Linked DNA regions of Nothobranchius furzeri. The protein of the gene in region 1 purifies or fractionates together with the protein of each later gene. This does not show direct contact. Links are inferred from orthologs where the notes say so. Each region holds a gene or a part of one and is shown in the gene's direction. Other genes may lie near its edges. The genes, in order: cop1, rbx1, etv5a, etv1, etv4, det1 and trib2.

Region 1 (3,500 bases):
GTATGGAACGGTGATCCAGGATGCTGTAGACATCCACTACCCTGTCAATGAAATGACGTGCAATTCCAAAATCAGGTAAAAAATAAACGAATTCAAGAGGAACTGAGTTTTAGCTTTTAATCAGATCAGTACCCTACACTTTAGGCAGTGATTCATCAAATGACATTTTATTATCTCAAATTGAGGATCTGCTGAGTTTCCATATCAAAATGATACTTCATCTTCCATTGCAGCTGTATCAGCTGGAGCAGTTATCACAAGAACCTTCTGGCCAGCAGCGACTATGAAGGGACCGTCATTCTGTGGGATGGATTCAGTGGGCAGCGGTCCAAAGTGTACCAGGTGTGACTCATGCACAGCTTTTTACATGATGTTGGGTTTTTTTCTGCTTATTATAACTATGAATATTTTTGCTGTGACGGTTTTCTGAAGTTTGACTTCCATATTTTTAGGAGCATGAGAAAAGATGTTGGAGTGTTGACTTCAACCTGATGGACCCCAAGCTCCTAGCCTCGGGTTCTGATGATGCTAAAGGTAAAAGAGGATTTCATATGATTTATCTGGGGTTCTCGACCACCAGAGTTCTAAATGAAAAGGAGATTTGCACATGTACTGTTATTGTACCCCTTCAGTCACGAGTCAATAAACGCTCATATTTTCGGACTTTTTCCGCGATGCGTTCTTTGATCTGTTCTGTGTCTGCAGCTAAGTATATATTTTATACTTTTTGAGGGGGCAGTGGCGGGGCCGTTGACAAATTTAAAGGAAGTGGCATCCTGGCCAATCACAAGCTTGTGGTCTCCGTCACTTTTGACGGATATATAAAAATTTGGGCATGTGTCCAACACCCTCTGTGAGCCTGTTGAAGAGCCCTTGCAGCGACGCATAATGGCGTTGCGTGACTCAGCACAGACAGAGAAGTGTAAGGCCGGGGACACACCAGCCGCCGAAGCGCCAGGAGGCGAAGCGCTCACAAAATTTGGCCTCGGTTCAGACCAGACGCTTGTTTCTCCACTCCGGTCGAGGCGCGCCTCGTAGTTTTTCTTTTAACCACTTGGTGTCCTCCATTTCCTCTCTGCCTTTTCTCTGCACTTTTCCTCTACACCCCCCTCCCCCCTGCTGTTTGTATGTGTGTTTGTACGTGTGTGTGTGAGAACCTATGGTGTGAACCGGTTGTTAATAGCTGGCCTACGTCTTTCTGCCTCTCTGTCCTGTTTGCTCCGGTTGAAAGACACCCAAAACCACACCCCCTTCACGTGGTCACACACACACAAGTTCGCTGTGTGTGTGTGTTTGTGTGGTTTTTATGCAGTGTCTGTTTACGAACACAGTTGACGATCACGGAATTGTATTTTGAAATGCTTTATTTTGTTAAATTTACCGGCCTGCCTCATGTCTAGGTTTGACTTCCTGCCAAAATTGACGCGGTTCACCCGCGGCTCGCAAAAAAAATAGAGCAGGCGCCAAAACGATCGCTGCACGGCGTGGGCTGGAGCGCCGGCGCTTCGGCAGCCCATGTGGTCTACAGAATAGGATAACAAGGGCGCCGAATGAAGGCGGTCCCCTTTTCGCGGCGCTTCGGCGGCCGGTGTGTCCTCGGCGTTAATCAGACTTAATGGAGGCAGGTGATTTGCTTTTCCAGCTGTCTGGTTTAAAATACCACCAAACGACAGACTTTTTCACCAGCCAGTTAAGAAATTTCTATCTCGGAGTGAATTTAAAGAGTCGTGTTTTTTGTTTTATACGGGTAAATCTGATCTTTTCCACCTGATTCCAACCCTGTTTAAATCGTGTGATCGGTTCACAGCATCCCTCAGAAAAACTTAAAAAACATCAACAATGTATAAATTTAGCATGGGGCTCCGCTGCTTTTTTATCTAAAGTGTTTATATTGTTTACCTGTTTTTTTTTCTTTAGTTAAACTGTGGTCAACCAACCTGAACAACTCAGTGGCTAGCATCGAGGCTAAAGCTAACGTCTGCTGTGTTAAATTCAGCCCAACTTCCAGATATCATCTGGCCTTCGGCTGTGCGGGTAAGACGGAGGACTGGTTTTGTTCAAACACTCCAAACTGATTCTAACAAAAGTTTTCCTTCTTGAATAATGTGTTTGTGTAATGTTGGCAAACTTTAAACTTGTTTCTCTCTCATTTTGATGTATTATTATTGTGGTACTCACCTCCCACCACTGTTATTTCCCCTTGAAGATACTAAATTTCATCTGTGGTTATGCTGACTCTGGTGGTCCAGACAAACTTCTGAAAACTCTGTTCATTAGTACCCCACAGGAGAATAAGAATTGTAATAAATATTCAGGTATGCAAAGGAAAGTATTTCCCATCACTAACACTGGATAACAGCTTAAAACAAGCGGAGCAGAACTCTGTTGCTGAGAGTTGTCCAGGCTCGTTGACACTTCAGCGTGTGTGTCTGAGGTCCACTGGCAGAAAGCCGCCTCCTGACCCTGGAGTGGTCGCTCAAGGAAGAAAAACTTCAGTTTGAAAACAGTTTGGAAAGAAGGAACATTTCTTATTGGAAACGCTAACTTCAGCACAAAGCAGCAAAGACATTGCATCATAACTTTACTGTGTTACAAGAATAAAAGCCCCAGATTGTTTATTTTTAACTCGTCCTGCTTCTAGATCACTGCGTCCACTACTACGATCTTCGCAACACTAAGCAGCCAATCATGGTGTTCAAAGGCCACAGGAAGGCCGTGTCCTACGCCAAGTTTGTAAACGGAGAGGAGATTGTTTCTGCGTAAGTCACTTAGGTTTACTTTCAGCCGTTTTTACTGGGATTTATTTTGAAAACGGTGAATATCAGAAATTATTAACTGTAATTTTAATGCAGTCAAATGTTCATTAATAAGGAACCTAAGTCACGCCCATCTGCTTCCAGACCATGGGTCCCCAGAAGAACGACGATGAAGATGCAAGTCAGCGGGGCTAAAAACCTATTTTCTCATCCCGCTTGCTATGTTCCATGGATTTCACATATGGTGTCCGTGAATTTTAAAGACGCGTTTTTTTATACCAATTACGTGCTTATTTTTGAACGGGGGTACATTTTATTTTAGGTTTTGTGTGAAAATAAGTCCAGGACTGCAAATACGCTTCACAAAAGTGACACCATCAAACCAGACACTGATGCTATCAGTAGCTTTAGCAGCAGAGAGAGAGGTAGTGCCAACTCAGCGACTTTGTCGCTGTTCCTAACGCCTCGTGACAAAGCTAGCTACATTTCTGAGGACCCTTAGCAACTTTCTTCTAGATAATTCCTGCAAATTAGCAACAAACTAGCCCTTTGAACATCTTAGGTGTGTTCTTGCTGTGCGTTATTTCTAATTCCATGTCGTCGTTCTATTTTAAAACACAGAAACGGTTTTGTTACATGTTATTGACGCTACAGTTTCGCCGACGGCTGCCGGCTTCTTCAGGCTGGCGCTGACAGCGTCCATCAGCGTCAGCCTGAAGAAGCCGGTTGATTTTGAAGCCTGAA
Region 2 (3,139 bases), on another chromosome or scaffold:
TAGTTGGGTGTTTATTGGTCTTGAACTAATAGTTTTACATCAGACGGGTTTGATTTGACAAACTCATGCTGATAAAAATATTAGTACCTAAATATATGTATCTCATATCACCTATTAAGAATTACATTTTTAAAATGAATAAAAATCCCTCTAAATCTTAGCGAAGCCAGCCATGCCCATGCTTCCAAATGGGAAGCAAATGAAGTCCTCTCGTAGATGTAGTTTTGCCCTGTGGCCGCCAGTGGGCGTATAATCGAATGTTTGTGGGGCTGATAGCTAGCTTCTTTAGCCTATTGATTTAATCTTGTTTAACACGAATAACTGAAATACATTTATCAAGTTTCATTAGTTAAATTGTTTTATTGTGTATTTTCCGATTTTATACTAACTGTGTTTTTAACGCCAATTTAAAAATCGTAATTTTTAAGTTGTATGAATGTAGTACCTGCAGCAACCCGATTTCTCCAGCAGAGAGCGCAAATTAAAGGATTGAGTACGCAGGTGTTTTAATACTCTGATGGATATATTTATTTGCATTATTTAGGTCAATCAAATAAAACGACAGATTGCAAGTAATTGAATTAAAAGTTTATTATATACAAAGAACAACCAGTATAAAGAACCGCATTTCTATTATGTTACAGGTTATGTCTGCTATGTTGGTCTTTTGCCACTGGAGGGCGTCAACTCCCCATTCTCGCTCATTTGCAGCGTTGTAGCTAGGGGAGTGTGTGGTACACAGTAGTGTGATGAGTATGACGCAGTGTGTAGCTCAGATAGATACACCTTTCTATACAGCATGAGAAGTTTTTTTTTTTTTTTTTTGCATGAGAAATTAAGGGTGTGTAAAAGCAATGAATAAAAGCAATACATGTGCTATTGATTTAACAAATTCTTTACAGAGAAATGTTAATAAGCAGGGGTTCCATGGTGTAATGGTTAGCACTCTGGACTCTGAATCCAGCGATCCGAGTTCAAATCTCGGTGGAACCTGACCTTTTAACCAATACTTCTTCAAATATTAAGAGTGTCAACGGTAACAATTCAGAAATACAACCTGATTTTGTTTTTTCAAAAATTATTAAGAAAATAATATTTTCTTTCGAAAATTTGCTTAATCTGGTCGAACAGGAAGTGACGCTATTTTCCGGTAAAACTTAGATAAACGCTTCCGGAGAGTTCAAAATGGCAGCAGCAATGGATGTTGACACGCCAAGCGGTACAAATAGTGGAGCAAGCAAGAAGCGCTTTGAAGTGAAAAAGGTACGATAGTTGAAAGTTTGTCTGTGTTGACTAAACTAAACGGTGCACTTTGTCAGCAACGCCGAAAGGTTTAGCCCAACATTAGCTAACGCTAGCTTGCTAAACACCGTTATCGGTGTTTAGCTGTTAGCCTGCTACAAGAAATAATTAATCATTATTCTGTTTATGGCCTTAAAGTCTAAACTAGAACTTGTAGAGAAATAAGAGCGATGATAAACTCTCAGTAGTTACACAATAACAGCACGATTTAAAAATGGACAAATACCTCTTTAATCTCTTAGTCTACATGCTAAATTAGCTTAGTCAGCTAAGCTGTACATCTCGAAATTTCCCAAGATTTAAAGTATTTAAATGACTGTCACATTTCCTCAGGATAAAATGTTAAGTAGTTTTGATGACAAGGTTTTTTTTCTCCTATTCATTACATAATTTAAAAGTAACGGTACTGATAGAGAAGGATTTTATTAATCAGATTTTAATTAACTCCTTTTCTAGATTGAGGTGTCCATGGAAGCATTTTTTAATCAAAGGTTGAAAAACTTTATTTGTAAGATAACTTTGAATTAGTACTGAATGTCAGAGACCCTACAATGAGCCATAGAATTAAGGTTTTTATTTCCAGGTATGAGGTCCTTCATTTTAAGTTACCTTCCTATGAACAGAATGTGATTTTTGTTCCAGTGGAATGCTGTTGCACTGTGGGCCTGGGACATAGTGGTGGATAATTGTGCTATCTGTAGGAACCACATCATGGATCTGTGTAAGTTCACATAGGGGTGTTTGATTGCATGTGAGTTGTTGGCAGCCCTCTTACACAATTCCTCATCCTTCATCAGGCATAGAGTGCCAGGCCAACCAAGCTTCTGCAACCTCAGAAGAGTGCACTGTGGCCTGGGGTGTCTGCAATGTGAGTTTCTAAGGTGCAACTTTCAGTAGGATGATAGATATGGGTCATTTGACTCTGAAAGGCACTCTACAAGTGCAGATCACTTATTTTTCAGTCTTTGCATCTTTGTTAAACTGCTATCCAGTCGTTTAAACATTTCCTTACCTTCCATAGCATGCCTTCCATTTCCACTGTATCTCCCGTTGGCTGAAGACCAGACAGGTGTGTCCCCTGGACAACAGGGAGTGGGAGTTTCAGAAGTGAGTCGGATCCATTAATGCATATATGATTTTGAGGATTGTTTGATGCTTGACTCAAACACATTTTCGTTTTTTCTTTCGCAGATACGGACACTAGTTGTGATATTGACCTGTTCCTTGGCTTCTGCGAGCATCAACCTTTCACTTTCCATTTTGCTTCCTGCTCATATACCTAGATGTTATTTTACATGTTTTGCTATGTTGTAATTCAATAAACTGTAAAACCATCAGTCTTCAGGAGGATGTAATCACATTTGAATTGAAGTCGTAAAACTAGATTAAGTGCACATGATATGCTCAACCATGCACCTTCATAGTTTAGTTCATGAGGTACATTGTGTTGGGACGAAAGTCACGAGCATCTACAGCCACGTGGAATGACATGAGATCTGACACGGCTGTAATCCTCAAGCTACAAAACAAGCAGCACAGCTGGATTAAACGTCTGGACTACACATACCGCCTGAATAATGAAATAACTCACATGCTTATTTAATTTAGTTTATTTAATAATCAGATTAATTTAAAAACCAATAAAATGGAACAAAATGTTTTTAAATAGTTTTATTGTGAATATTTTTCCAACAGGGTGAGACAGACATCCTTTTATTTGCATTTATAACAGATTAATAACAAAACATGCCAACGCTCGTGAGAGTTCGGCTGTGTTCAGAGACAGACAGAGGTTAAACCACGTATTAAATGGCTGTAGAAACGTTCATATCTTAAT
Region 3 (4,141 bases), on another chromosome or scaffold:
TCTGTCATTTCTGTATTTTAATTTTGAAAATGTTGTTCTAATTTGTAATCGTAATTTTTCTTCCTTTTCTCCCATTTTCGATGATGATATTTTTTCTTCATTATTTTTTATTGTTCTGTGAAGCACCTTGTGGTTTTTGTCTAGAGAGGCGCTGTGTAAATTATCCTTTCTTCTTCACCACCGGGGACTGACCAGGATTAGCAGAGGTGTGGACTCGAGTCACATGACTTGGACTCGAGTTAGACTCGAGTCATTATTTAAATGACTTCTGACTTGATAAAATCTATTAAGACTTACGACTTGACTCGGACTTGAACACCAATGACTTGCGACTTGAATCGACTTGCATCTGTTGGCTTGATGATGACTTGAGCATATTTGATATTTTAGCACAAAAGTGGCACGACATGGGCAAGAATCATGAATCATTGTTCGTTCTGGGTGTGATCTTGGTCTGCTAAATGCAGCAGCTCTTTGTTTATAATCAGTTTCTGCTTGTTTGAGCAAATAAAAGAAGCTTTAAGAAGCTTTATTTCTGGAATTTATTTATTATCATTGTCATTAAATAGAAGTTGGACAGATGACTTGATTATGACTTGAAAATTCAGTTCAAAAGTTAAGGACATGGACTTGACTTGGACTTCAAAATCATTGTGTTTGGACTCGACTTGGACTTGGTTGTCTTTGACTTGGACTTGACTCCAGACTTGACTGGAAAGACTTGTGACTTACTTGTGACTTGCAAAGCAGTGACTTGGTCACACCTCTGCATATTAGTGACCTTAATGGGTATGAGTGAGTGTGTCTCATTTGTCTCTGTGTGTCCCTGTGATGCACTGTAGACATGTCCAGGGTGTCCTCCACCTCCTGATAACTGACAACACCAGAGTGAGTGAGTGAAAGCTGTTCACTAAGTAAAAGTATGACCTAAAGTACTTCTTCATCCCATCCCGGGGATGATGTGACATACTTTAGTTTCTACTTTGGTGTCATTGATGACACCCTCTGCCTAGGACTGCTTGAACCGCCAGCTCTCGGCTACAGGGTTGTTGTCCGTGTGCTGGAGCTGAGGGAGTCGGGGGTGTTGACGTGTAGCCTTGGCTCGGCTCCTGGCCCTTTAACAAACACAAGCAAGCAGCGATGATTGAAAAAAAATGTGAATGAAATCCAACCATTCATAAAAAGGGACGCCACTGCCTTGTGATTGGGCGAACCGCGCCTCGCGCATAAATTAAAAGCTACCGCGCCATTGGCTGCTCGCTGAACGGACAGACTGGATCCGCCAATCACAGCGTGTCTCTGCGTGCTGCTCGCGCGCAGGGAAAGCGTCGGGCCGTTAGGGTTTAGGAAAAGCTCAGTCTAGCTGAGTGAGTCCGAGGAGACGCATCGGTGTGTCGGCGGCAGGCGACGCTTTTGTTTGTGGATATTTACAGCGAACTGTTGACGTGTTCAGGAGGTTTTTATTCACATAACCAGGTAAGTTTCACCATTCTTACCACAGGCTTTTAATACTACACTGTTGTTTAGTACAGTTTAAGAATACTACCAAAGTACTACAGAGAAAGTGGCTTTTAAGCCCTTAGTGAGCCCCTCTGAACGGCTTTGGCTCTGCTGCTGTCCGTCCATCAGCGCTGTCAGGAGCCTGTTTGTGATTTTTATGAATGGAGAGCCATCGACACCCCCACCCCCACCGCACACGGCTTCACACGGATCGAGTTTCACTTCATTGACAAAAACAAGGGAGGCTGGGGGTGGGGGGGCTGGCTGAACTTCGGCCCAGGCCAAAGTGGTGCAGCTTCTTTTATCTGGACTCGGATCTAAAAAGTCCATAAAGTTGTTGCTCTTTATGCATTTTTAGTGGTTCAGTCTAAAAAGACCCTAATTATTTTACATCGTTAGAATAAAACGCATAAATAAAACCTAAGCAGCATCTGCTTGGAGCTATAGCTGGTCAGAGTTTGGACTATAATAAGTGCATGGAGCTCCATGAAGTGGTGCCTGTAATTATTTGCCCAGCAGCCACTCTTTATTGGTCATTCATTAACAGAGGAGTGAGTCATGTCACTCTGCTGAGTGAGCTGTGAGAGGAGAGGAGCGGCCTCAGCTCGGTGTTTCTAAAGAAAACCTGTAGAAATGTGCAGCGGAGGGGAGAGGGAGCCAAGTGTAACACTCTCACAACAATAGCTCCAAGCCTGTTGAAAGCACTAATCGCTTCTCTGATCGGCTTCTTTCTGTTTGAGAGGCTTTGTGATGCAGTTGATGGCACGGTTTCCTCAGTGGGACGCTTCTTCCAAGTGCTTCACTCCAGATCTTCCAGCTGATTACAGCAGACCATAGCTGGAGCAGATGGCCGGAGAGTGCTGCTTATGTAACCTGTGTGATCCTGCATGACTGTGTGTTGATGTTTGCTGGATGTGCCTCGGTTCACAGGCGTGTTGGTAGGTTAAATAAGGGGGGATGATGGTGGCCTTGTTGTAGCATCAGAGTGGGACGCAGCTCCACGTCCACATTCCTGTGTAACGAGGCCAGATCAGTGTGAGGACTCGGGCTTCATGTCAAGGTGAACTGGAGTTTCTTCGACTCTTCTCTGTGCTGCTGGATGAAAGGTACCGGTGGAGTCAGGTGACACTTTTCTTCTTTGTTCTCTCACAGGAGTTTACCGGTGCCGGTTTAAAACAAACACCCCTCCTCTCCCATTAGTACCAGAACCCCTCCAGAGTCACCATGGACGGCTTCTATGACCAGCAGGTCCCTTTTATAGTTCCACCCAGCGTAAGTGGACGCACTTGTCACCACATGAGGGTGGGGGTGACATCCTCTGTTGTAGGTTGTGACCTGACGTTTCTCCTTCTGCTACTTCCCAGCAGCAGAAGTTGCATGTGGAGGAATCGTCTCACGGCTCGTCCCTGAATGACCGAAAGAGAAAGTTTGTGGAGACGGAGCTTGCCCAGGACACAGAAGGTAAGACGGCTGACTCAAACACGGGTTCATGTTCTTTACGTGACATCATATCAACATCTTTTGACCCACAGAACTGTTCCAAGACCTCAGTCAGCTGCAAGAGATCTGGATCGCTGAAGGTACGATCAGCATGTTCTGTCGCTCTTCATCATTGGTTTTCAGAAGCTTCCAATTTTTTGTGCAGTAAATGCGACAGTAGAGCGGTTGTGTCTGAACAGGAGCGGCCGCAGCTAGATGTGCTTTTGGCAGCTCGTACAGAGATCCTCTCTGCTCACGACTAAATGAAATTGAGCAACTTTGACCTCTTTAAAGTTTAACTTTGTGAGAATATCAGACGCCGCTGTTTTCAGCTGGCAAGTGGAGCAAGAAGAGCAAAGTCCTGTTGATGACAAAGTGCTGACCGAGATCTTTTTTCAATTGCTTCACACACACACACACACACACACACGCGCGTCGGTGCTGGTGTGTGTCTTCCTGACGTTTTCTACACCTGTCTGTACCTTCACAGCCCAGGTGCCTGATGATGAACAGTTTGTTCCAGATTTCCAGTCAGAAAACTGTGAGTACCTGATTGTTCCTCCTCCTCCTCTTTGATTTTTACCTCCTCGGCACCATCCTTGTCCGGATTTGCGGGTCGGACCGCAGCTCAGGGAAAGCCTGCTCTTTCACTCCTTTCATTCTCCCCCATTTTGAGTTTAATCAACCGATTGACATGAAGCATCACATGAGCCGACTTCCTAATCTGATTTCACACTCCTTTGCACTCGGCCCCTGCCGTTGCGCTGCCTCTGGATTGGGCTACGTGCCAGTAGTTAGAGCTGTTACAGTTCTGCTTTACACACCGTTAGCCTGCGGAGAGTCATGTCCGGTGCTGCTTCTTACTTTTTAGTTTATGTTTTGGTCTGATTGGTGGGAGGTGGAGATGGGGTGTGGCTAGTGTGGTTTATCAGGCTTCAAACAACCCTGCAGCTTCTCAAGTCTGTGCTTGTTTCTATTCAAGCCCTCTTCCAGGTAGTGAGCGGCTGTGGGTTCACGCTGAGGTAACCGTCTGGTGCTGCTGGGGGGCCTTTTCTCCAACACATGATTTATTACCCTAAGGCACAGTGAAGCGCTCCTTTGCTTTCACCTGGAGGATGTTAATCCATCCACCATTACTTACTGCTCAGGGGAGCTCACGTGC
Region 4 (2,648 bases), on another chromosome or scaffold:
ACCGCAAAGCAAACAGAGTCGGTGGTAGAGTTGCTTTGCTATTAGCTAACCATTGGCAAGATGTTGAAGTTCCAGGAAATAAAGACTCCAAATCCTGCTGTTTTCATCTAGACTCTCCTCTGGCTAACTTCTACTTCCTGAAACGGGTGCGAGAGAGCTTTGTCCCCATAATGATCATCTATGTTTACACTAAAGACCACTGCAAATTTATTGAGAAAACGAGTTAACTTGGTCTTCAAGGAAACCCTGATGTTGTAATCCATTTTGCACAACCGCCGTGCATAACAACCTCCACATCTGTTGTGTTTTTTAATTTATTTTTCTATATTTGTCCAGTTTTACCTCGAACCCGTTGTGAGGTAAACATTGGCTTTGCGTGGCAAGCTAAATAAGAACGTAAAAAGTGTAAGAAAGTAAAATTAAAACCAAGGCTACGGTTGTTTTTGAAGAATGATGAACCATGTGTAATAAAGCTTTTCTCATCTTATATAAATCTTTGATTAATCAGATCATCACCACCTGCTGGCCCGGCATGGGTGCTGTTTTTAAAATAGTTCTAATACAAATGATGAGCAATGCGATGATTTATAAAATGGAACATGTTTTTCAGGTGGCGGGTGAGAGATACGTTTACAAGTTTGTGTGCGACCCCGAGGCTTTGTTCTCCATGGCATTCCCCGACAATCAGCGGCCGGTGCTGAAGACGGACGTGGAGCGTCAGATTAATGAGGAGGACACGGTGCCGCTGTCACACTTTGACGAAAACATGGCCTATGTACAGGAGGGGCCCTACTGCCAACCGCATCCCTACAGCGAAGGCTATGTTTATTAACGGCAGTTCCACCAACACACACACCCGAATACCCGTCTCCACTCGAGCGTGATGTCCAGCCTCCTTCATACACCCGAGACTGTCATGTCCTCTGATTCACAGTCGCTCTGGGATAAAGACTGAAAACACACAAACACGGTGGCACTTCCCTTCCTCGTAACTCAACATAAACACACACACACATATTCTGTATTCTGCTCTTGTCTTTCTGACGTCCAGAGAGTTGCACTTTACGGACAGGAACACGGTGGAAACCTACCAGGGTCAGAGTGGTTGGCGTTTTACTATTCTTTATGTTTCTACTGTGGAAATCTGTTTTTTTTTTTTGTTTTTTTCTTTTATTATTTGTCTCATTTGGAGCATGCGCCACCCCAATGAGACAGGACTCATTAGCTAATTTATGGCCAATAAAAAGCCAAATTCCTCAAACTTTGACCTCTTGCAAAAGAAAGCATCTCATCCACCCACCTGGAGCCAATCCACAGAGGAATCTTAGCTTTCCCATCACACAGACATCCAATACTGAAAGCGTAAAATCGCTTTCACGGTTAAGATTACCAACGTGTCATGTGACGTAGCCTCACCTCCACGCTGAGCATCGGTTCATCAGTGCTCTCCGACCCTCACACAATCAAACTGTAGATCTCAACCTGTTGGTGTTTTTCTCTTTAACAACACAGACTCCACCGGATCGTTCTCTCATCTGCTAAAAAATGACCCGTGGGTCGGTAAAGAGGCAACTTTGATTCACGAGGATGCTCTGGGATGTTCGGAGGAGACCCAGACTTTATCCCAAATCACACGTTTGATCAGGAGCATCGTGGAAGCTTCAGGTTGAAAAACACTCCGGCAGCAGAAATTCATTTGTGTTCAGTTTTTTTATACAACAAATAAGAGGAATGTTTATTGTACAGCTGAAACGGATCAAGTCAGGAAACCATCTGCATTCCTAAAACAGAAAACAAGATGAAAACCAATTGATTTCACTAGCATAAATAATAAAAGTCAAGAAAAACTACACGTCTATATTTTTTGTGAACTTTTTTCTGTTCAGTTCCTGGTGAACATGAAGTGTAAATTTTGTTTTGTTTTGTTTTTTTGTTTGTTTGTTTTTTTACTGTCGCTTTTGCAATTAATATGTTGGTTTTTGGTCAAACAAAAAGAGGAATTATTTAGAGTTTTATAATGTGGTGAGTTAAAATAAATTGTTATGTACCATGGCATAATCAGGTAAATGCACATTTTGTTGCTGCTTCAGTCTGTAAGTGTATTTTCTTTTTGAGTCTGGGGAAAAATCCAAAAAAAAAAAAATGAAAGTGTCCAGCAGTTTCAGCCTGCTTTCCTGGATTTTGTTGTTGTTTTTGTTTCTTTTTATTTTATTTTTTTATCCAAACAAGTCTGGTCTGTCGGGGTGGGGGTGGGGGGTGGCGGGGGGGTTGGATGTATTCTGGAGGCGAACGTGTGCGGAATGGGATTGGAAATAGAAACATTCTGTAATAAAATAGTTTCAAAAACCTAATTTATGCCCCATTTTCAAATATTTTTTTACACTAATCACCACCGAATGACTCTGTTATTACTGTTTGTAGCTTTCACTGCTTTTATAAGTCACGTGAATAATTTTTACTGAGATATTCTCTCCAAAACTTCTGAATTTTCTTTAGTTTTTTTTATATGAAAACAAGTTTAACTTCTCAAATTTACATGTAGACCAAACAGATTATGGACTCTTGCCCATTTTTACTTAGTTGTGAGAGAAAACCACAAAGTGTTTAACCTAAATGACACCTGAGGAAAAATCAATGCCTAATTTAAG
Region 5 (3,500 bases), on another chromosome or scaffold:
AATGTTTAAACTTCCCTGTGGATTCACTTATTCTAATTTATCATTTGTAAGAGGAAGTTAACTGAGAAACATATTTTGTTCTTTTTAAACACAAGCAGTCACCCTGAGTTTCACATGCAGGTTAAACATTTTCTTCATTCCCCTTCTCCCTTTCAGCCACAGACCCGCGGTTGGATCAGAAAAAACATTCCCTTCTACGTCACAGAGAGATATTTGGATTTATGGACTCACCCACCGTGGGTGCAAGTGCGGAAGACTGATAATGATTTAGCAGCCCGGAGAGAACAGAGCACAAGTCAGCTAGTAGAAGCTAACCGTTAGCGTTAGCAGCACAACCACACGGCAGAACTCTTTGTCTCCTTTAAAAAGCAGCTTTTCTCCTTTAGCTGAAACTCACCTGTTCAGGCTGGCTCTGGTGTGACCTTCATCACCACCCTCTCCTTATGCTGCTCTTCTACCTATTCTGCCTTTCCCAGGATTCACTGATTTCCTTTTTTCTTATTCATTTTCTCTCTCCCTTTCCTTACATTTCTTAATCACTATTTACTTATTCTTTTCTTATTTTAAATGTGTCCTTAATCATTTTTAAAATCTTTTTTATATTTAATTTTTTGGTTTTGTGAAGCGCCTCGTGATTTTTTATCTTGAGAGGCGCTATATAAATGTTTGTTTTCTTTTTTCTTTCTTTCCTCCAGGCTTGTTGTTTATGCAGATAAAACGTTGTTATATTTTTTTTACCCAAGAACAAAGACAAATGACAGCAGTGGTAAAGTCATGTTGCTTTTAGCCAAACATTCTATACATTTAAATATCATGAATATGAATGCGTTAAATCCTGCCGTTTTCTACCTTCCACTTCTCCAACCAACGTCTACTTCCCGAAACAGGAGCACGAAACTTTGTTCCACAGAAAGGTTTACATGGCGTCATTTATACTGTCCTAACAGATGATTAAAACAATTAATAAAATGTTACAAAAGCAGAAGTCACGTGAAAGTGGAGCTAATTAATTACAATGTTTTGAGCAAAATACGCAAATAAATTGAAAGGCCCTCAATAAAATCCATCTGGTGGTTCTTGAGATATTTTTGCTAACAAACACGCATGCGCAAACTGACTGCATGCATCAACAAACCCCTCAGAAAATCTAGTGACATCAGAACATCCTCACGAATCGCCACATCAAAAGCCTCATTCATGCCAACCCCACCAGCAGTGGCTCGTCATGCTCTATGAGGATTGTTTGTAGTTCATGACCAAGCCTGAGAACAGGATGAACGTCAACAGACAAACACGGTTGTATTATTAGAGTGGTGGTCATGTGCCACCCTCCGTGTGCACCAGCAGACGGTCTGTCGGCGACTCGGAGGAGGCCGGAATCCCCACCACGTCTGTCTGGGAAATCTGGGTAAATGCTCTCTAATCCTGTTGATCCCAGGATAAATCCAACACTTCCTCACCTGCCTGCCTGCCGTGGGAGAGTGAATACACACCAAAAGCAGGAAGCTGCATGACTCTCTCGTCACTTTAATGTGTTTATAGTTTTGATGTTAAACAGGTTCAAGTGAAATGGGAAAGTCTAAATCAAATGTTAAAAGTTTTCCTTAGCAAAATGGAGTAGAATTCTTGGCAAGCGTTTGCGTTTTTGTAATTCTGGCAACAAAAACAAGAAAATGTTGTGAATGTCAGGGAGTTTTCTTTGCTCACGTTCTACCTCTCAGCCATTTTGTGTTTTGTTCAGCGAGCCAGACGTTTTTTTCCTCGTCTTTTTGTGAATGGACGACTCTGCTATGTAATTACCTGGGCTGTGCTTTCAGTGTGGCCTGTTCTGTTAGCGCCACACCCACTGCACACACACACACACACACACACACACACACACACACACACACACACACACACACACACACACACACACACACACACACACACACACACAATCAAGCAAAGACAGACAAGCTAACATTTCATGACGCTAACACAACGTGCACGCTCACATGAAGGCATGCCTCCCCAGCTGGAAGTGCACAGCTGCTGCTGTTTACCCTGTCGGGACCAGAAAAACATCCTGTACAGTTCTCTGGGTGAAAACCTCCCCTCGCATAATAAACACGAGCCCTCTGCACAGTTTGAAGCTCCACTTTGGGTGGTTTCTGTGGCCATCAAGGCAAAGGTCCCCTCCAGCAGTCCAGCTTGATGGACACTTCAATATGTTACAGATTAAGTGGACTCCTTTGGGTCAACATTAGATACTTAAAATGTTTGTGGCATCCTTAGATTTCCTTGGTTAACGCTGAAGTGATGCAAAGCCCCGTATGCTCTTCTGAAGAAGGTGTAACGTACACTACAAAGGTGTAACATTTTAGCTGCTGTTGTGTCTGGAAGAGCCAAGAAAAGTGTGGGAAGGAGGCTTTGGACTTTCAAATGACTGCTGGAATGCAGTTGTGTGCAATGAAAGCATGTGTGTTTTTGTGTCTGTGTTTATGCAACTGTGTCTTAGACGTGGCTGTCTGCTGCATTGTGCTGCTGCTGAAAGTCGCTTAAGCATTTTGGGTTGGCACAAAAGACACATTCCTGCACAGACAGGAGATTTAGTTTTGACTCGGGCTGACGGTAGTATTAGGGCAGGGCTGAATCACAAAGGAATCTTGCTCACGTCTGCTTTCTGTTTGTTGTCTCCTGCAGCAGTGGCGTTTCATAGTCCTCCAGTCACTATCAAGAAGGAACCACAGAGTCCAGGATCTGACCCCAGCCAGTCCTGTAGCCACAAACAAAACTTCAACTACCCCAGTGGAGAGCAGTGCCTTTATGCCAGGTACCCCCTCATTTTTGGTCATTAAAGGTGCGATTTATAAAAATTCTACAGTGAAATAATCACAAAACAGTCTAATATCATGTTGGAAGGAAGGGTATACTGAAACAGATTTTATTCTTAGCTGGCTGTGGGATTGTCTGTTTTTATCCTTTTGAAGAAAAATAAACTTTTTTTTTACACTCTTAAGAGTTTGTGAGGTTGCCGAATCTTCAGCAAGCATTTGTATTTCAACACCAACAAGCAAAAAGCTCCAGAGTGGTTTAAAGAACCAAAGCCAGTAAACAGGAGTGACCCAGAAGTTATTTCTTGAACCCCTAAGAAGCCACACGGTATACTCTAATATCAGCTAACGTTGAGCTTACAATGCTAATGGTGGATTTGAAGCAAATGTTGTGTCAAAAAATATCTCAAGCTACTTATTCAATTCCCAACAAATCAATATTACAGTGAAATGTATGCGTGAAGGGAATAATGAGTCTATTGGTGCGTTTTACTTCCTTTATTGAGTCATTCAGAAAAGCAAGCTAATAGTAAAACGGTAAATTACCACACTTCCTGTAATGCTGGAGACAAATTACCATAATAAGTGTCGTAAGTGCTCCCTACAGGAAAACGCCTAAGAATTCTAACATCAGATATGACTATATTTATTATCTACTTACCAACTTCCTGTTGACTCATCTTC
Region 6 (4,194 bases), on another chromosome or scaffold:
GGTTCACATATGCTGCATGCTGTTATAAACAAATCAATTAAACAAATTACGCCAAACAAACGAGGCTGTCATACACACTGTAGGTACAGGAGCCGAAGGTCGGCTAATGTTGTTGTTTTTGGTTTTTTTTTTTTTTATTCTTTCCTGGCTGTTTAGTCAAAGCAATTATAATCATATTCAAAGTTTTCCGGGGCACTTGTGCGTCTCACCTGCTAACCCACCCACTGATCAGTAAATTGGCACCTCAGTGAGAACAGCAGGTGTACGTTTGCCCCAAATTTTGGCCACAATGAGGCTTTCCTCAAAATGAATCCCACTGCAATTACCCACTTGAGTTCAGTAAAATGGTGCACAAGCATCCCTGGATATTTGGAATATATTAGTTTAGAATAATAGAGAAAACTAATTTTGGTCATATTTTATTGTCAATGCAGGTATCTGCTGGCTGTGTTCTGTTTTACTTTGACCTTATTTACAGCAGGTCTGTGCGCAGAGGTGGAAAAAGGTGTGGCAAGAGATTTCAGCAGGGGGTGGAATTTGGGTGTTAAATGTCAGATTTCTGTACAAATATACATATAAAACAATTTATATTAAATACAAACAAATAGTTTCTCCTTGTTTACATATAATCTACTAGTAGTTAAATGTTCATATGTTGTGAATTTTATTAATTCTGGCATAGTAATGATGCTTTCTATGGGACATGTTGATAAAAACCCACTAAAGCCTGAAACATTAAATTATTATTAAACCTACAATTTTAAAGACTGAACTATTTATTGTCAAATATTAACATAACAGAATAATGATTGTGTCATTCTAAAACAATATAACAGTTTTAAGAAATTAAATTGGCCCTTACCACCTGTAAATCTTCCACCAGGGGGCAGTAGACATGTTTTGGCCTGGATATGGCAGGTTCCTGAGGAAGGTACTAATCCTGATGCTCCATCTGGACCCTATAAGACTAGTGTGAAAATATTACATAAGACCAAATAATATATAGTACGTATTGTAATTAACAATGTAAATAAGCAAAATTACTTCTCATTATTTTATAATTTCATGATGTGAACAAATTTCTATCTATTTTCATTAGCCCAAAAGCTTTTATTTTCAGCATTTTTCGGTTACCTATGGAGCTTTTCTTCTCTACAAATATAACTAAACTCAATTAAAAGTCACAATGAAATGTAAAATGCTATCAATCCTTCTGAAACTACCCCTCCTTCCTTTATTTGAACGCTTTCATCAGCTGACGTCTCCACTTCCAATATGGCGGATCTGCTGACGCATCACTGCTTCCGTTTGAGCCCTCTTAGCTAGAGACTGCAGTTTCATATTTCGCCACTAACGGAGGTGGCGCTGCAGCGCTCTGCTCGGTTCTTTTTCGCTTTCTTTTTCAGCTTTCTCAACAACAAACCGAAAGCGCATCCAAAAGCGCAAAAACAGCCTGGAAAATGTTAATAAACCCGATTTTTGTTTAGTTACAGTTTGACGTTAGAGGCTAAATGATGCTGAACGTTTACGTTTGATGAGAGAAGAAAGCCGAGGAGCGGACGGTGAGTTATCCAACTTGAACAGCTGTTTAACGGAACATAACTCCTAAATGAGACTTTTGTTTGCTGGGATTCGGTCAGAAGGCTCTGTTTTAGGCTCTAAAATAAAAAAGAAGAGCTGTAAACGTCTCGGTATTGAGATATATCACAGAGCAGATCATCTGTGCTGATGCTGGTGTGAAAACTACGCTGAAAGATTCTGATCAGCTGTTCTGCTTTCAGAGCCTCCTTCACAGTTTGACACATTTTAATTTGTTATATTATGAAATATTGTATTTTGGCTAAAATCACGTGAAATAAAACATTTTTCTCTTTAAATTGTCGTGACAACATGTCATAAAACCCCCAAAAACATCAGATGCTGCAACATCTTGAGCTCTACCCTCTCACAGGTAATGTGATGACCCCCCCCCCCCCCCCCCCCCCCGGTTTATCTACAGATGGACGTTTGAAGCCATCCCTTAATGTCTGCGATGGAGGACACCCCGACTTTAAAGCCCAGGCACATCCAGAATCAGAACGTGGTCCATCGTCTGGAGAAGCGGCGGATCTGCTCCGGTCGACCCGGATCTCACTGGTACCGAGTCCGCTGCTTTCACCAGAACCTATTCCCTAACTTCACCGTGGTCAACGTTGAGAAGCCACCGTGTTTCCTCAGGAAGTTCTCACCAGACGGGCGCTACTTCATCGCCTTCTCGTCTGACCAGACGTCCCTAGAGGTTTCATTCTCACACCATCACGAAACACATTTTTGTCTCATCATTGACAGATTCCCTTTGTTTATTAAGTTTACCTGAAACCAGAACCCAAGTAAGAGCATCTAAATGCTTCTGTAGATCTATGAATACCAAGGCTGCCAGGCTGCTCAGGACCTTCTCAGAGGTCAAGAAGGAGAAACACTTTCAACCGCCAACGACCAGCGCTCCCTCAACATCCGAGGCCGCTTGTTTGAGCGCTTCTTCTCGTTACTTCATGTCACTAATGTGGCCTCAAATGGAGAACACCTGAACCGGGAGTGTAGCCTGTTTACAGACGACTGCCGCTACGTCATCGTCGGGTCGGCGGTTTACGTCCCTGAAGAACCACAACCGTACTTCTTTGAGGTAAGATTCCTAGTTTCTTATTGGTGGAAATCTGTTCGCCTGCTTCTCGTTCCCACGTTTGTTCTCCCACCAGGTGTATCGCAACAACGAATCAGTGACCCCCAACCCTCGGTCTCCTCTAGAGGACTACTCTCTGCACATCATCGACCTCCACACCGGCAGGCTGTGTGACACCAGATCTTTTAAATGTGACAAAATCATCTTGTCTCACAACCAGGGGCTCTACCTGTACAGGAACATCCTGGCTGTGCTGTCGGTGCAGCAGCAGACCATCCACGTGTTCCAGGTGAGCTCACCTCCACCATGCACTCTGTAGTGGAGGTTGTTGTCATGTGAGAAGATAAAAGCTGCGCTTCTGCCGGTCTTTGTTCGGTGAACCCTACTCCTTCGTTCAACGACAGCATTCGCAGCCTGAAGCGCCAATGCAGAAAAGTTGAGCGTTTGTGGAGGAAAACCCATCTCCACGTCCATCTGCTGCACCTAAAGGATCTTCTGACATCCTTTAACTCTGCAGTCAGAGACGCGAGGGTTGTCTATTTCTCCAACCTGGTGTCCCAGAGCAAAGGGAACCCCAAGGTGCTGTTTAACACCATCAGCAGCATCGTCTCTCCTGCCTCTCCTACAGCCTCCATCCACTCTGTTACAGACTGTGAGAACTTTCTGTCTTTCTTTGTGGACAAAGTCAATAAGGTTAGATCTAGCATCTCTCCTTCAGCCTTATCGCCGCCTCTCCCGACTCAACCAGGCCCATCATCCTAGATGGCTTTGCTCCTGTTTCTTTGCCTGAGTTAACCAAACTAGTTATCTCTATGAAGACCTCTGCATGCCCCCTCCACATCTTACCCTCATCTTTGTTTAAAAGTGCTTTTCAGTCCATCGGTCCCAGCGTGCTCTCTATAATTAATGCTTCTCTGGTCTCTGGTCAGGTCCCTGCTTACTTTAAGAACGCTGTAATCCACCCGTTTCTTAAAAAACCGAGTCTCGACCCCTCTCTCCATAGCAGCTTCAGACCCATCTCTAAACTTCTGTTCATCTCCAAGATCTTGGAAAAGGTTGTGGCTAAACAACTCACAGCTGCTCTTGATGAACATAGCTTCTATGATAGCTTCCAGTCAGGTTTTCGTAGAGCTCATTCTACTGAAACAGTTCTTCTTAGGGTATCTAATGACCTTCTGACTCACAGTGATGCAGGGGACTGTTCTGTTCTGGTCCTGCTGGACCTGACTGCAGCCTTTGACACTGTTGACCATCACCTGCTACTGGAGAGGCTGAGAGACTGGGTCGGCCTATCAGGATCTGCTCTGGAGTGGTTCTCCTCTTATCTTTCTGAGCGCTCCTTTTCTGTGGCCGTCTCCAAGTTTAGGTCCTCCACCACCTCTCTTACCCATGGTGTCCCACAAGGTTCTGTGCTGGGGCCTCTGCTCTTCCTCCTCTATCTGCTTCCTCTTCAGCACATCCTGAGCTCCTTCAACGGAATCTCCTACATCTTTATGCAGATGACATCCAACTGTACATCTCCTTTAAGCCCCATG
Region 7 (4,101 bases), on another chromosome or scaffold:
TAGAGGTGGCCATGGGTCCAGAGAAAGGTTGAAATGCTAAATTGATCTTCAGGGCCACTCTGGGAAAGTGTAGTGATGCCATAAATGCTCTTTTATTCGTTTTCATGAAATAATAATAATAATCGTACTACTACTACTACTACTACTACTACTAATAATAATAATAATAATAAAACATTATTTGACTCTGGTCTTCTCTGGGTGTGGGCAGTGGAATGGCCAGCAATTTTCTACCCTTGGCCACCCCTTAGGAGCGCCACTGGCGGCTGTTTTCTGTCTGTTTTCATGTGAACTAGCAAAATCACGCGTGATCTTGCAATTCATTCATAATTTCGCGGGACCAGCTGAGTGGGACACATTCGCAGATACCAGTAGAAAAGAATGCGCCTCACATAATAATCTCTTCACTTTTGGCATTAGTAGTTTGCAAATGTTGTTATTTTTGAATATAATAAACATGAGAAACACGAGGCTCACCAAAAGCCAATGTTGACGTCTGAAGCGGGTGATTATATGCTACACCGGCGTGCCTTACCCCACAGAGCGTGTAACCCCCCCTCCCTCCTCTGTCGGCAGCGATGGTTGGCAGGAAGGCAGCCTGCTCCCCCCGAACAGGCGCAGTGAGATCGGTGTGTGTGTATGTGTGTGTGTGTGTGTGTGTGTGTGTGTGTATGTGTGTGTGTGCAGCTCGGCTCCGCTCTGAATGGACTAGATTCCCGGCCACGTAAGAAGCACAGCGGTACCACGGGAGAGAGGATGTCCTGCTGAATCAAGGGATTGGCCTGGGAAAGTCGGCCGGCCGTCCCTTCCTTCCTTCCACAAGCCTTCAGCAGCATCCACACAGCTCTTCATTTTTCTTCCTTTTGGACCAGACGGAGGAGAAAGAGTGTTGACTCCCGCACACAAAGAGCCTCGGCAGCAGCAGCAGCAGCGGTCTTTCCGGATGGGGCTTTCTCCTTGTATGCTACATGACAATCACCGTGCACGGACGTAATCCCGGGGAACAAGGCCGTGCACTGACCCGGCGCTCGTTAGCTTTGTAATTAGCTCGGGAAACCAGCTTAATTGGATTTAAGCGTGTGCGTTTTTCTCGTTTCCCTCTCCTGAATGCCAGGCGGTGTCCATTTTATTGTTTCCGTTTTATGAAACGTGTCAGACCGTTCACCGACACCGGATAAACTAGCGGACTCTCCATTGATTCCCGGAGCTAACTTTTGATAGCCTTTGTCTAGCCTGCTTCTTCCCCCTCCTCGGTGAAGCCGCGCCGCGCTGGTTGAGCACTCAAGCCGGGGGGAACGTTTTATTTAATTGATCTCACGAATGTCTAACAAAGGAGGAGGCAGATGAGCATCGGGGGGGAAATAACACCCTTTTTCGCCTGTTGACGTCCTCTAACAGCAGGTTGCAACACATACACAACATTCGCATTTTGAATCTACTTCATCGAACTCCCCAAGTGAAAGGTTAGGTAAAGCGGTGCTGTGCCCGAGGGGAAGGCTTCAGTCTGCAGGAGGCATCGCACTTGTTCCTCATGAACATACAGAGGTCAAATCCAATTAACATTTCGCGTTATGGGAGATCGCGACACAAATCGCACGATTTTGAGGAGTTGTCTTGTTTGAGGACTACAGAGTCGCACCAGAGCTTCAGTCCCAACCTCGGCTCTCCCAGCCCGCCGGAGACCCCGGACACCTCGCACTGTGTCTCCCGCATCGGGGACTACCTTTTGTTGGAGCCGCTGGAGGGGGACCACGTTTTCAGAGCCGCCCACCTGCACAGCGGGGACGAGCTGGTGTGTAAGGTGAGCATGCAAACCCCCCCCCCCCCCCCCCAAAATAGCCACCTGAAAAACAAACGAGCAGTTTCATGCATGTTTTATTCTGGAACCATATTTTATTTTTGCTCATTATAGCCGATCTTTATGCACATCACCCGAAAATGTAGCTGAAGCAGAATAAAAGTGCAGACTTGGATCCTCCAGAGCGGCTGCCACATGGACTTTTTAATAATTGCTTGAATTGTAAATAGAGAGCTGGCAGAGCAGCCTAATGGAAACAGTGAATGGGGTGAGCTGTGTGGTTTGGATTGCATGATGTAACGTTGACAAAGGAGTGAGTAACCACGCGCACACACACACACACACCTCCGAGCCATTCTGGCTTACCCAGTGGCTTCTCACTGTCAGCTACAATGCTGGAGTCATTGATTCACCTCTGGATTTAGATTTATGAACCGAGTCGTGCGTTGCACACTTTGGACCAATATTCTCGTGACATGCAATCCTGCATGGTAAGTTAGAAAGGAAGCATTTATTTTTTCAAATCCACTGAACCTTGCAAGGTGGACTTTCGCTACCACATTTATACGATGTTTAATCATCTGTGCTGCTGATAATCAGGGTGGAGGTTACTTTGGAGAATCCCAGCCATAATCTGATGCACGTTGACCGATTCATTGAAACAGCTGCACACACCCTTGGACCCATAAAAGCCTGACATTTCCGGTAGCCGGCACCTTTCTGACTTGAGGTAATGTTATGTCGTTGCCGTGACAGGCGCCCTGCCTTATGAGCTAACTGCTGTTTGACCTCGTCTGCTTTGCGTCGACCTCGATACCGCAGCAATCAATCCCCACTTCCCGGGATTGATTATTACTGTCAGGCCGGCAGCTCGGGTCTCTCATGAGTTAAGATCTCGAGACCTGTGGGGTGTGTTTTTTATCGACTGCAGGCAGAAGGAGCCCTCTCACCTGAACTGGTTGTACTGAAAGTCAATTGGGGGTTGCTATGGAAACAAAAGAGGTACTGCAACCTCAGGCTGCAGCACAATGCCATGCAGTAGTATGATGCTACTTACTCCCTCTCCCAAAAGGAGTAACTCTAGTTGGCTGCTATGAGAGGGACTTTCTGTCCTACAAGGAAAATCTGAAATTCTGTCAGCTGGAATTTTTGTGTCCGCAACGGGGAAGGCGAAACGTTTTGCAGAGTCATTCTTAGATCTCCAACAACAATATCAGGATTCTTACTAAAGAGAACTGTTTCTAATTTGAAATCGTTTGCTCTCTTGTGCAGGTGTTCGACATTGGCCGATACCAGGAGTCGCTGGCGGCCTACTTCGCCTTGGGCCAGCATCAGCACATTAACCAAATCCTGGAAATTCTGCTCGGGGAGACGCGAGCCTACGTGTTCTTCGACAGGAGCCATGGCGACATGCATTCTTTTGTTCGCACCTGCAAGAAGCTGCGAGAGGATGAAGCTGCCAGGCTCTTCCACCAGATAGCCTCGGCTGTGGCACATTGCCATGACAACGGACTGGTCCTCCGTGACCTCAAACTGAGGAAGTTTGTCTTCAAAAATGAGGACAGGTAAGTTTCGCGGAAACCGTTAGGGCCGCTGTGCCTGGTGGCTTTGTTGTTTTTTTCCGTTTGTACATTCTGTTCAGTGAAATTTCAATGGCGTCTGTGTGATGTCATAGCTCAGCTTACACAGAGGATGTTGTAAACTGAGACTGTACAAGAGAGACGTTCCTTCTCTCTCAAATGCTCTTTTGTGTGTGTGTGTGTGTGTGTGTGTGTGTGTGTGTGTGTGTGTGTGTGTGTGTGTGTGTGTGTGTGTGTGTGTGTGTGTGTGGTTTATTAGTGGAGATATTGCACACACACACCACATATGTAGATGAAATTACACGGGTGTCATCTTCACCCCCATAACTCGAGACCGGCACTGCCGTTGAACCGAACAGCGCGTTCAGATAAGTTACCTTACCGGGACAAGCCGACGATCACTGGATGAACCAGAACCCCGTGCTTTCACAATGCAAGTTCTGACCTCTGGTGGCTGCTATTAATACCTGCAAACATAGACATCTGTTGCTACAGCAACCTTCTTATTTTAGATGCTAAGTAACCTGTTTTTATCATTTTTGATCACTGCCATGTGCAAACACCTGCCGTGCGGCTCCACAGATGCACCGTGTGCTTGTTTGGGAGTGTGGTGTCATTCGTTGGCACATCCAGTGGAAAATGGAAGTGGAGCTGCCTCGCATATTTAGTAGAGGTCCAGTAACCTTCAAAGCTTTTAGACTGAGATGCACGCCTCCTCTTTAA

Evidence for each region.
Region 2: the proteins of cop1 (region 1) and rbx1 purify together in Homo sapiens (affinity purification with western blotting; 3 studies listed by BioGRID, with this or other methods). This does not show direct contact. The link is inferred for Nothobranchius furzeri from reciprocal best matches to the Homo sapiens genes COP1 and RBX1.
Region 3: the proteins of cop1 (region 1) and etv5a purify together in Homo sapiens (affinity purification with mass spectrometry; 6 studies listed by BioGRID and IntAct, counting the BioPlex papers as one, with this or other methods). This does not show direct contact. The link is inferred for Nothobranchius furzeri from reciprocal best matches to the Homo sapiens genes COP1 and ETV5.
Region 4: the proteins of cop1 (region 1) and etv1 purify together in Homo sapiens (affinity purification with mass spectrometry; 4 studies listed by BioGRID and IntAct, counting the BioPlex papers as one, with this or other methods). This does not show direct contact. The link is inferred for Nothobranchius furzeri from reciprocal best matches to the Homo sapiens genes COP1 and ETV1.
Region 5: the proteins of cop1 (region 1) and etv4 purify together in Homo sapiens (affinity purification with mass spectrometry; 5 studies listed by BioGRID and IntAct, with this or other methods). This does not show direct contact. The link is inferred for Nothobranchius furzeri from reciprocal best matches to the Homo sapiens genes COP1 and ETV4.
Region 6: the proteins of cop1 (region 1) and det1 purify together in Homo sapiens (affinity purification with western blotting; 11 studies listed by BioGRID and IntAct, counting the BioPlex papers as one, with this or other methods). This does not show direct contact. The link is inferred for Nothobranchius furzeri from reciprocal best matches to the Homo sapiens genes COP1 and DET1.
Region 7: the proteins of cop1 (region 1) and trib2 purify together in Homo sapiens (affinity purification with mass spectrometry; 4 studies listed by BioGRID and IntAct, counting the BioPlex papers as one, with this or other methods). This does not show direct contact. The link is inferred for Nothobranchius furzeri from reciprocal best matches to the Homo sapiens genes COP1 and TRIB2.

What each region holds. Positions count from the first base shown.
Region 1 is NC_091751.1:60,919,457-60,922,956, forward strand, and holds part of cop1 (E3 ubiquitin-protein ligase COP1), read left to right. Parts: coding exon 1-75; intron 76-233; coding exon 234-342; intron 343-452; coding exon 453-534; intron 535-1,917; coding exon 1,918-2,034; intron 2,035-2,641; coding exon 2,642-2,759; intron 2,760-3,500. UniProt on the Homo sapiens protein: E3 ubiquitin-protein ligase that mediates ubiquitination and subsequent proteasomal degradation of target proteins.
Region 2 is NC_091752.1:65,786,479-65,789,617, reverse strand, and holds rbx1 (E3 ubiquitin-protein ligase RBX1), read left to right. Parts: upstream 1-1,127; 5' UTR 1,128-1,185; coding exon 1,186-1,263; intron 1,264-1,944; coding exon 1,945-2,023; intron 2,024-2,099; coding exon 2,100-2,170; intron 2,171-2,323; coding exon 2,324-2,409; intron 2,410-2,493; coding exon 2,494-2,506; 3' UTR 2,507-2,639; downstream 2,640-3,139. UniProt on the Homo sapiens protein: E3 ubiquitin ligase component of multiple cullin-RING-based E3 ubiquitin-protein ligase (CRLs) complexes which mediate the ubiquitination and subsequent proteasomal degradation of target proteins, including proteins involved in cell cycle progression, signal transduction, transcription and transcription-coupled nucleotide excision repair.
Region 3 is NC_091754.1:36,794,264-36,798,404, reverse strand, and holds the start of etv5a (ETS translocation variant 5a), read left to right. Parts: upstream 1-1,341; 5' UTR 1,342-1,476; intron 1,477-2,427; exon of another isoform or gene 2,428-2,560; intron 2,561-2,652; 5' UTR 2,653-2,724; coding exon 2,725-2,772; intron 2,773-2,864; coding exon 2,865-2,961; intron 2,962-3,032; coding exon 3,033-3,080; intron 3,081-3,469; coding exon 3,470-3,520; intron 3,521-4,141. UniProt on the Homo sapiens protein: Binds to DNA sequences containing the consensus nucleotide core sequence 5'-GGAA.-3'.
Region 4 is NC_091745.1:64,421,082-64,423,729, reverse strand, and holds the end of etv1 (ETS translocation variant 1), read left to right. Parts: intron 1-610; coding exon 611-832; 3' UTR 833-2,148; downstream 2,149-2,648. UniProt on the Homo sapiens protein: Transcriptional activator that binds to DNA sequences containing the consensus pentanucleotide 5'-CGGA[AT]-3'. Required for olfactory dopaminergic neuron differentiation; may directly activate expression of tyrosine hydroxylase (TH).
Region 5 is NC_091756.1:48,943,716-48,947,215, forward strand, and holds part of etv4 (ETS translocation variant 4), read left to right. Parts: intron 1-2,685; coding exon 2,686-2,815; intron 2,816-3,500.
Region 6 is NC_091744.1:82,952,409-82,956,602, reverse strand, and holds the start of det1 (DET1 homolog), read left to right. Parts: upstream 1-1,394; 5' UTR 1,395-1,562; intron 1,563-1,999; 5' UTR 2,000-2,023; coding exon 2,024-2,278; intron 2,279-2,395; coding exon 2,396-2,662; intron 2,663-2,735; coding exon 2,736-2,948; intron 2,949-4,194. UniProt on the Homo sapiens protein: Component of the E3 ubiquitin ligase DCX DET1-COP1 complex, which is required for ubiquitination and subsequent degradation of target proteins. The complex is involved in JUN ubiquitination and degradation.
Region 7 is NC_091742.1:22,438,211-22,442,311, reverse strand, and holds the start of trib2 (tribbles homolog 2), read left to right. Parts: upstream 1-1,301; 5' UTR 1,302-1,531; coding exon 1,532-1,801; intron 1,802-2,147; exon of another isoform or gene 2,148-2,274; coding exon of another isoform or gene 2,275-2,289; intron 2,290-3,070; coding exon 3,071-3,363; intron 3,364-4,101.